Arabidopsis thaliana: one gene and its partner. The protein of the gene in region 1 interacts with the protein of each later gene in a pairwise test. Each region holds a gene or a part of one and is shown on either strand. Other genes may lie near its edges.

Evidence for each region. The genes of interacting proteins can lie anywhere in the genome.
Region 2: the proteins of AT1G66300 (region 1) and AT2G04080 interact in a protein complementation assay, tested with the Arabidopsis thaliana proteins (one large-scale study listed by BioGRID).

Annotation. Positions count from the first base shown.
Region 1 is NC_003070.9:24,715,838-24,719,966, forward strand, and holds AT1G66300 (F-box/RNI-like/FBD-like domains-containing protein), read right to left. Parts: upstream 2,214-4,129; coding exon 1,245-2,213; intron 1,171-1,244; coding exon 1,030-1,170; intron 921-1,029; coding exon 660-920; 3' UTR 528-659; downstream 1-527.
Region 2 is NC_003071.7:1,356,629-1,361,350, forward strand, and holds AT2G04080 (MATE efflux family protein), read right to left. Parts: upstream 2,776-4,722; 5' UTR 2,532-2,775; coding exon 2,286-2,531; intron 2,198-2,285; coding exon 1,653-2,197; intron 1,559-1,652; coding exon 1,472-1,558; intron 1,392-1,471; coding exon 1,335-1,391; intron 1,259-1,334; coding exon 814-1,258; coding exon of another isoform or gene 784-813; exon of another isoform or gene 750-783; coding exon 699-749; 3' UTR 528-698; downstream 1-527.

The DNA of each region.
Region 1 (4,129 bases):
GTTAACTGATTTGTTTAGCAAAAAATAAATAAATAAGTTAACTGATATATTACACCTGCTACAGCTTTCGGTGGTCTATGAATCGTTGCACTGGCTGTCTTGCCTGCTTTAAGCGGAGCTATTTGGTCCGACACTGGATTCCTTCTTGCAACCTTAGAAAAGGAAAAAAGAAAGCGAGCTAGGTTTATTCGGTTTTTAGTTTAGTTTCATCTAACCATCTAGCTATATTGGTAAAGAGTTTCTATAAACTTTAATCCCAGGGTCTTACACAAATCTTATAACATTTTCAGTTAAACTGAAGCATCAAACATCTTGTGCTTTGTTTTTCCTTTTTGTAATCCATTATACTTTTTCTACTCAACCTCTGAATTATTATTGTTAAGCAAAAACAATTCATTGAGTCAAAAAATAAATTTTCCTTACGATCTACAAGACATCAAATTCACCACAATGAATAAAAAAATCAAATAGTCCAGATAAATAAAGAGTTTTTGGAAATTTTAATCCTTGGTTCTTACACGGACCTTATTACATTTTTGGTTCAATTGAAATATTTAAGACAAACATATGATCTTCTTACAGATCTACAACACAACATAGTTCATAGTAGTAAAAGTACCGAAAGACAACAGAGTTCACAGTATGTTCGTCAACGTGAATCAGAGAAGGATAACTTGGCATGAGCTAGAGCGTCTTGGAATGGTAAGGATTTCACATTCTGCTTTCTTTCTAGAATTATCATGCAAATGTATAGTGAGTTTCTTGAGGATTGGTGAGTTCTCAAGTAAGTAACTCACAAGTTTCATCTCAAAGACCTCCCCTGTCAATGGGGTTTCTATCTCAACATACTCGAGAGATGATAAGAGACATCGATGTCCTGATATGATACTAGTTCTCTCCATTCTATATCTATTAGATCCCTGAAATTACAACCAAGTGAAAGAAACAAGTTGGAGTAATTATGATACTTTCCCCATTTGCATTATTATACCAAAGAAAGTACATAAGTTTTAAGTAAACAATCCTTACCACGACAAGAGATTTTAGATTCGGGCAGCTCTCAAGAAAGAATGGCAACATTTCCCATCTGTCCTCATAGAACTCAACACTCAAGAGACATAGGTTACGAAATAAGGGCAGTGGTTCACATCTTGAGTAATCATAAATGACCTACAACAACAACAAAAACAAGAAAAAGATCAGGATAAAGTTAACATTAAAATAGCGAATTCAATAAACGTTACCTCAAGTGTACATGCAGCGATGGCCATATTTTTAACACCAGAGATCCCGACAAGAAAATTACGAATCATTTCTCTCTTTGGTAGATTCTTCGGATCAAACTTCTCTCCAAAACAAAAGTTAAACTCAATATTGATATGTGCCCCTACAAGAGAACTCCGATTCTTTATTATGAAACTTGCAGTCATACGGTGAGAGAGCGTTAGATCTTGAAGCTTGGGAGTATCAATTTCAACTATTAGTTCCTCATATTCAGGACCCATGGTATTGGGGCCATTATAGTTGAAGCTCAATAGAGACTGAGATCTCACACGTAACACTTTTACATTGTCATTGTTACTTCTGCATAACGTTAAGCTTTTGAGAACTAGGCAGCCTGAGATAAGCATTTCCAAAGCCAAATCATTTGCAAACTTAACCCAATCTAGAACTATAACTTTCACAGACGGTAAACAAACAAACTCAGGAATTGGTAAGATTACACCACAAAGCTTTAAAGATACCAAACTCTTACACACGTAAACTATTGGAGGTATTTCCAATGCACCCCACTCAAGATCGAGATGCTGAACTTTCCGTTTGACAACATCGTTGATCCACCGCGCCATTTGAGCATTACCAGTCTCCTCATCCCCAACAAGATCGCAATCGAATCCTAACTTAAACTTATTTAAGTACGACTCAGTGTTGGTACTCAGAAACCTATCCACAAAACTCACAAAAGTATTGTATTCGGTGAAATCACTACAATCCAAATCCAAACCAGGAACATACCTCCACAGATATCTCCATTTCGTGGATAAGACACAATTTTTAATCACATCTTTTGTCGAAAGATTCAAGAGAACATGACAAATCAAAGATTCTGGCAAATCTCTTACCCAATCAACTTCATAACCAGATTTTTTGTCCGAAGATTCTGGAGAACATAATCGTTTGGTACGAACACGTTTCTCTCCGTCTTCGTCCATGTAACTTCAAAATTGCGAAGAAAGCGGCATAGAGTTGGTGAAAATGAAACGATAACTGTTAAACAAACGACGTTAACTTTTAAAAATATCTCAGTTTGTGGTCAAATATTAAAGATGGATTTTAATGGGAAATTAGTATATTTAACTTTTTTACTAAACATAAACATTTTTGTAAAACCTGCTTTAGTTTATATATTGAATAAACTTCCAACAAATCCCGACCAAAAGAAAAATTAGGGAATATGCAAATAACCTAAGACTAAAAAAGAATTAAGAAAATAACATCTGACTAAACAATGTCTGCTTGCTACATGACTTTTGTCAATTTTTGGCCCATATGACTCATTTTCTCTTCGTTCTCTTTTTTTTTTTTTTAAATATCTGCATTATTTATTGAATAACCGGAGAACAAATGTAATTTATATTTATATATACATTTTTGCAGCCACTTTATGAAATAAATCCTGGAGTTTGGATTTATTTACAGTGGCTGCCACTGGCATTTAATAATTGTTTTTGATACTTATAAAGAAAATCTTTGAATTAAATATTTGACAATCTTCCCAAAATCTCTCCACATTAACTACACGATTAGTTACTAAAATAAAACTTTCGAAATATTTAATATCATTTAATTACTACAAAATTATCATTTTTGATATTGTTTTTCTACATGACTATAATAATTCGATTATAATCATCAAACCGCAGATTATAATCATCAAACCGCAGAGATATTTGATAGCATTTAATTACTACAAAATTAAAAAATATTTAGACAATGATTCATAAACATATCATAAATAAAATCAGTGAGTTTTTTTTACGGGACGAATTGGCGGGACGGGTTTGACAGGACGTTACTTAATAACAATCGTAAACTATAAAATAAAAATATTTTATAGATAAATATAATTTACAAACTTTTATATATAGTAACTTTAAAAAATAAATTGTCTCCGCGGTATACCGCGGGTTAAATTCTAGTCATACTGAAAACATAAACACTAAATTACTAAAGTTTATATAATTTACATATTTACTAAAAACAAACCAAACTAAATATATACGACGTGTGTTGTTAAAGTAATAGAGTGACCTCAATTATCTAAAAGTTTTATAGAATTATCGAAAGTTTCTCAAACTAATATTTCTATAAAAAATCAAAACCTTTTCGTAATATTTATTCAAAACAATTTCTAGTTACTTGAAATACCAGAATATAAATATGGTCCTTTACCAATTCGGAATATTTCTACAAATCCGAATTATCATACTTGCCCGTTAACATGCAGATTACTAAACCTGTTATAGTTTAGTTTTTCATCTGATCATCCTTGGGTATCAGCGCTGTAATGGTAAAGAGTTTCTAGAAACTTTAATCCTTGTGTATTATACCATTTTTGGTTAAACTGAATCATCTTGTGCTATTTTACACAGATCTTATACCATTATATATTTTTCTACTCAACGTCTGAATTATTGTTGAGCAAAACTATGTCTTTTAGTCAAAAGAAGTAACATTACACATTTAGGCCAAACATGTATAAGATCAATAAGGCATCAAATTCACCACAATGAATAAAAAAACAATAGTTTGATAAAGAGTTGCTAAAAACTTTAATCCTTGGCTCTTACACGAACCTTATTACATCTTTCATCTTTGGTTCAATTGAAAGATTTAAGCAAAACATATGGTCTACGATCTATATATATAACACAACATAGTTCACATTAATGAAAGTACAGAAACAGAACCTCGAATGTCCGTCAAGGAGGATCAGAGGACGACAACTTGGCATGAGCTAGAGCGTCTTGGAATGGTAAGCAGTTCTCTGAGGATGACAGATTCCTTTCTGGAACAACCATAGGGATGTCAAATAGGTTGTTCATGTCCAAAGGGGCAATGTCCAAAT
Region 2 (4,722 bases), on another chromosome or scaffold:
AAATGTCTTAATTAACAAAAACATTTTTTTGGTTTAAATAACAACTAGACAGTTCAAACGTGCAGCTGAGGCTGATAAAAAGGTAGGAATTCGTATTAAGTTTTCACCACTAAACCTACTAATTAAATGACATAACATTAGTGGACTATGTGGAATTTGAATCTTCTATAAGTATTTTTCATCTATATATTTTTAATGATTTACGTCAAGAAACATGTATGTGAAAACTCTTATGGATCATTAGTGTAAAGTTATTATGTTTGGACCATATATAAGAGAGATTATTTTCTTTTGTGAATTTTAAAGTTAATACTAAGTGTTAAATCTGGTTGTGCCATACAGGCCATTTTTAGTGGACTTATTGGGATAATGGATAGGACTCACATAGTTGTTTTTTATAAAGATAGGACTGATTGCAGCTGAGGCCATTTTTAATCCCATGGTGTTTGGAACTAATGAGTTTTTATTTACTTGTTACATTTGTATATTAAAGTTTGAAGAAAATAAATAAATCATCTTTCAGCATGTGCAATTCGAATAATTTTTCTAACTAACGAAAATATCAACTCAAGAAAAAATGTATAAATCCTGGATAAAAGTTTTACAAAAAAATATTATAACCCATCAAAATAACATTACATGTTTTTTTGCACATGACTTGCAAATACTTTGAGATAGCTCTTAGGAACAACCTTTATTTAAACCAATCCATTTTCAGTAGAGATTATTCTCTTCCTTGCTTTCTCAGCCTGCAAATAATAGAGTCCAGTTACTTCAGAGCATTCAAAAAACTAGAATGTAACAAACTCTAACCTGTTCCTTCCAGTTCATGGAGGCTGTGACGATAGCCAGTAAAGTGGCTTGCACCGCGGATCCAACCATAACACCGCACCAGAGTCCTTTTCCATTCCACTCACGACTGAAAGCTAAGTAAACTCCAACAGGAGCTCCTACAAGATAATAAGCCACCACGTTGATCAAAGCTCCAATGTGTTGCCACCCACATCCCCTAGCCACTCCATTTAGAACTGCCGTTAATCCGTCGAGGATGAAGGAGAGACAGAGCAAAGGAGATATGTCAGCAACATAGTCAACAACTTCTTTGCTGTTGCTGAATGTGTAGCCTATGATGTTTCGGCAGGTGAAGAGAAGTGTGCTAAAGAAAGCTGACTCTACAAGCCAGAGACAAAGCCCTGCCAATACGGAAACCCTAGCAACTTGAGGATTTCCAGCTCCCAATTTGTTTGACACTCGTGTGCTTCAAGAAACCAAATGACTAATGTTGAGAAAGGAATTGTTGAACACTTGTTCTGGTTTGAGAGTTGAGATCATACCTCACAGCCGCCGCGACTCCAGATGGAATCACATAGTGTAAAGTTCCTATTGTAAGACTGATAACATGAAAGACATAAGATTAATACATTTTGGTAAAGAGAACACATAGGATAAAAAGAAGTAATATGATACTTACCAAATCGAAAGAACAGATGTCTCGAGTTTTGGGTTTGGGAGAAGACCTGAGCAGAGTATGAGTAGCTCAAACAGCCACCATTCTAAGCTATCAAAGAAGACAAAAAAATGCAAGCAAGATAAGAGGAAGCATCGGTGTATTGTAACTTAACCAACAAGACACGTGAAAATGGTTTACTTACCAAATCAATCCAGCGGATGGGACTCCGTACTGGAAGTACTGCTTGATACTAGACATAAAATCATTTGATACAAATCCGCGAGTCTTCTCGCAAGAGCTGAAAAATCTCACATGACATGAGAGTATCACAGCGTAAAACCAGAAAGACAAACTAATAGCAATAGCAGCTCCATTGCTTCCAAGACCAAGCGCGAAAACCAAAGTCCAGCAAACCGCAATATGGAACAAAAGGGTGGTCATGGCAGAGTATAGCAGGGAAATAACCAACCCTTGTGCTAGCAGAAACCGAGTCAGTGGTAAGAAAATAGCATGGGCAAACAAAGCCGGTACGAGCCACAATGAGTAGGAGCCAGCGACTCTAGAGATGTCAGGCTCTTGCCCGAGAGTGATCAAGAGCTTTTCGATGTAAATCCATAGAATTGATATGATGAAACAAATTGGTATGTTGGAAGCCATTGCAGAGTATGTATAGGTTCCGATTTTTTCGTATTGTTCTGCTCCATAGGCTTGGCCACAAAGAGTTTCCAATGCACCAACTAACCCAAACTACACAAAAAAGAATGCAGCAATATTTCAATATTGGAAAGTTAATTGAGTTCTTGAAATGAAGAGGAGAGAGTAATAGCATAATTACCATTATGCTGAAGCCGGAAACGTTTGTGAAAGACGTGGCAAGCGCGACACCGGCGAGCTCCAACTCGCCGATGTGGCCGGCGACCATGACTGAGATGACAGGCAATAAGTACTGAGCTATGGTTACGGTGGCCATAGGAGCGGCCAAGCGGCTCACTTTCTTCAGCTCGACGGTGACCTGACCACTTTGCCATGTGGATTTACAAGAGACTAACTGCTCGTCTCTCGGAAGAAATGGCTCTTCCATTGTCGTCTTCTTAATCTTGATTGATTTGCCTCTGATTTTTTAGATCATATCCAATCTTGTACTGATGGACGAAACCAATGTAATTTATTGTCAATGAAGACTTTTCGTCAATATCTAAATATATATATAACTCTGCTCGACCAGTGAAAACATTTTTTTCTCATGTTAAGATATGCATATGAAAGTATTATTGTTACTACCAAATTTTAGACCCGTAATTGACTGTGGGACAAATAGTTTTCTCTCTTCAATGTGTGTCACAGAAAAAAATGTTATTCTATTTATTAAGGTAAAAACAGATATGATATGATGTACCCATAATAATAAATGCTCCATATAAATTATATTATTAAGAGGGTCCATATAAATTATATTTATTAAACACATATATCATGTGCATGAATTGGTTTCTGATTTTTGTAGACGTGGTGGCCTTGTTGTTTCGATTTTTCAAAAAGTTAATTATTGCCGACAATAGTGAATAGTTTTTTTTTCCTTGTTTGATATAATGTTATGAATATGATCCAATTCCGGTTTAATGTTGGTCTGATGACATTCGGTTTAACAGCAGATTGGAGTTGGTTATTGAAACGGTTCGCTTTGGTTTACAGAAGAAGGAAGTTATGATTGGAAGACTCTCATTCTGAAAGAGGCTTCGATGCTCGAAGTCAAACACATATAAATAGAAGTCTGTTATCTTCTTCTTCTTCATTCCGTTAGAAAGTTGTTACGATCTCTCTTAAACCCAGAAAATTAGGGTTCTTCATTGATCTTGTATTGAGCTCAGAGAAGTTTGTAAACATCTCATATAGTGGATTGCCGGATCTATCTGGCTCCAGACGTAGATCTAATCACACAGATTAGATTGAACTGGGTAACAAATTCTTGTGTGTTGTTCTCTGTTTCTTCTTTGATTCACACAAACAAACTTCGAGTTGAGAGATTGAGAGCTGATAAGTGAGGTTCGCGTTCGTATTGGGATCGGTTCTATAACATTTAGCGAAATGAAATTGGAACACCTTGATTAGAAATAAAATTATAAGATTAAAATAAATTGTATTTTGGTATAAAATTTTGAAAAATCAAGTAAAACAAAAAATTAAATTTCTAAATACTTATTTCAGAAATATATCTACTAGATATTTTATTTGCTTTTTTGTACAAATATTCTTTCACATATATTTATTTTCAATTAATTAATAGATTCATTACTTTAGTTAATAATTTTTAATTATTTAAACTGTTCTTACATTTAATTGCCCTTTAATTTATAGGTAAATTTTTTTATTGGTTTCCTTCTCACTAAATGACTTCAAGTTCTTAGCCACTATATGAGATTTTATTTGTTGACTTACTCATTATTTGATTTCTTAGAAAACTTGAAAAAATATGAATCACACCATTTCTTTTCTATATGAAAAAATATAACCAGAATATGTATTTTTTTTTTTATAAAACTATTTCACATCTAGAAGTTTATTAAGAAAGTATTGAAAAATTATATAATTTAAGAAAATTATTTACTAAAATTTAAATATAGTATAGAACACATTGTCATTAAAATAAATTAAATAATAGAAACAAATAGATATGAGGTTCAATGTATAAATTTATGTTTGAAAAATTTATATTTTGCAGTATTACTTATCATGAAATAACCTCAAAAAATATATTTCAAAAACATACTATATTGTCTAATGTCTATTGTGTGAGTCAAATCTGCACATATAAACCGGCAAGCTTAATTAAGGGAAGTAGTGTCGCGGAAATAATTTTATTTATTAAGCTCAAGAACGAACTGATACAATTACAAAGAGATTGAACTAACTTTGATAACAAGTTAGTTTTTTTTTTCTTGTGAATTTGGATGTCTAGGGATCTTTAGAGACGAATTGTGGATGCCCCACTTTGCGACTGCTCATTTGTATTTATACTTCTCCATCTAGGTCTTCGAATATGTTTTCCTTCCAAAATTTTTATCTTCGGTATTTTTTTCTTTTCTCCTCCTCAATATTGATGATATTGAAAGTATTTTCGAGTCAATCTTTCCATTTTATGTTAAGTCAATCTCGATCTATCTATTTTCACACAAAAAAAACTCATTTTCACGCTAAATGTGCCGAGCCCGACAAAACATTTCGAAGGTTTTGTTTATTGAGGTTAGAGTCGAGTTAACTGAGTGGTGCTAAAT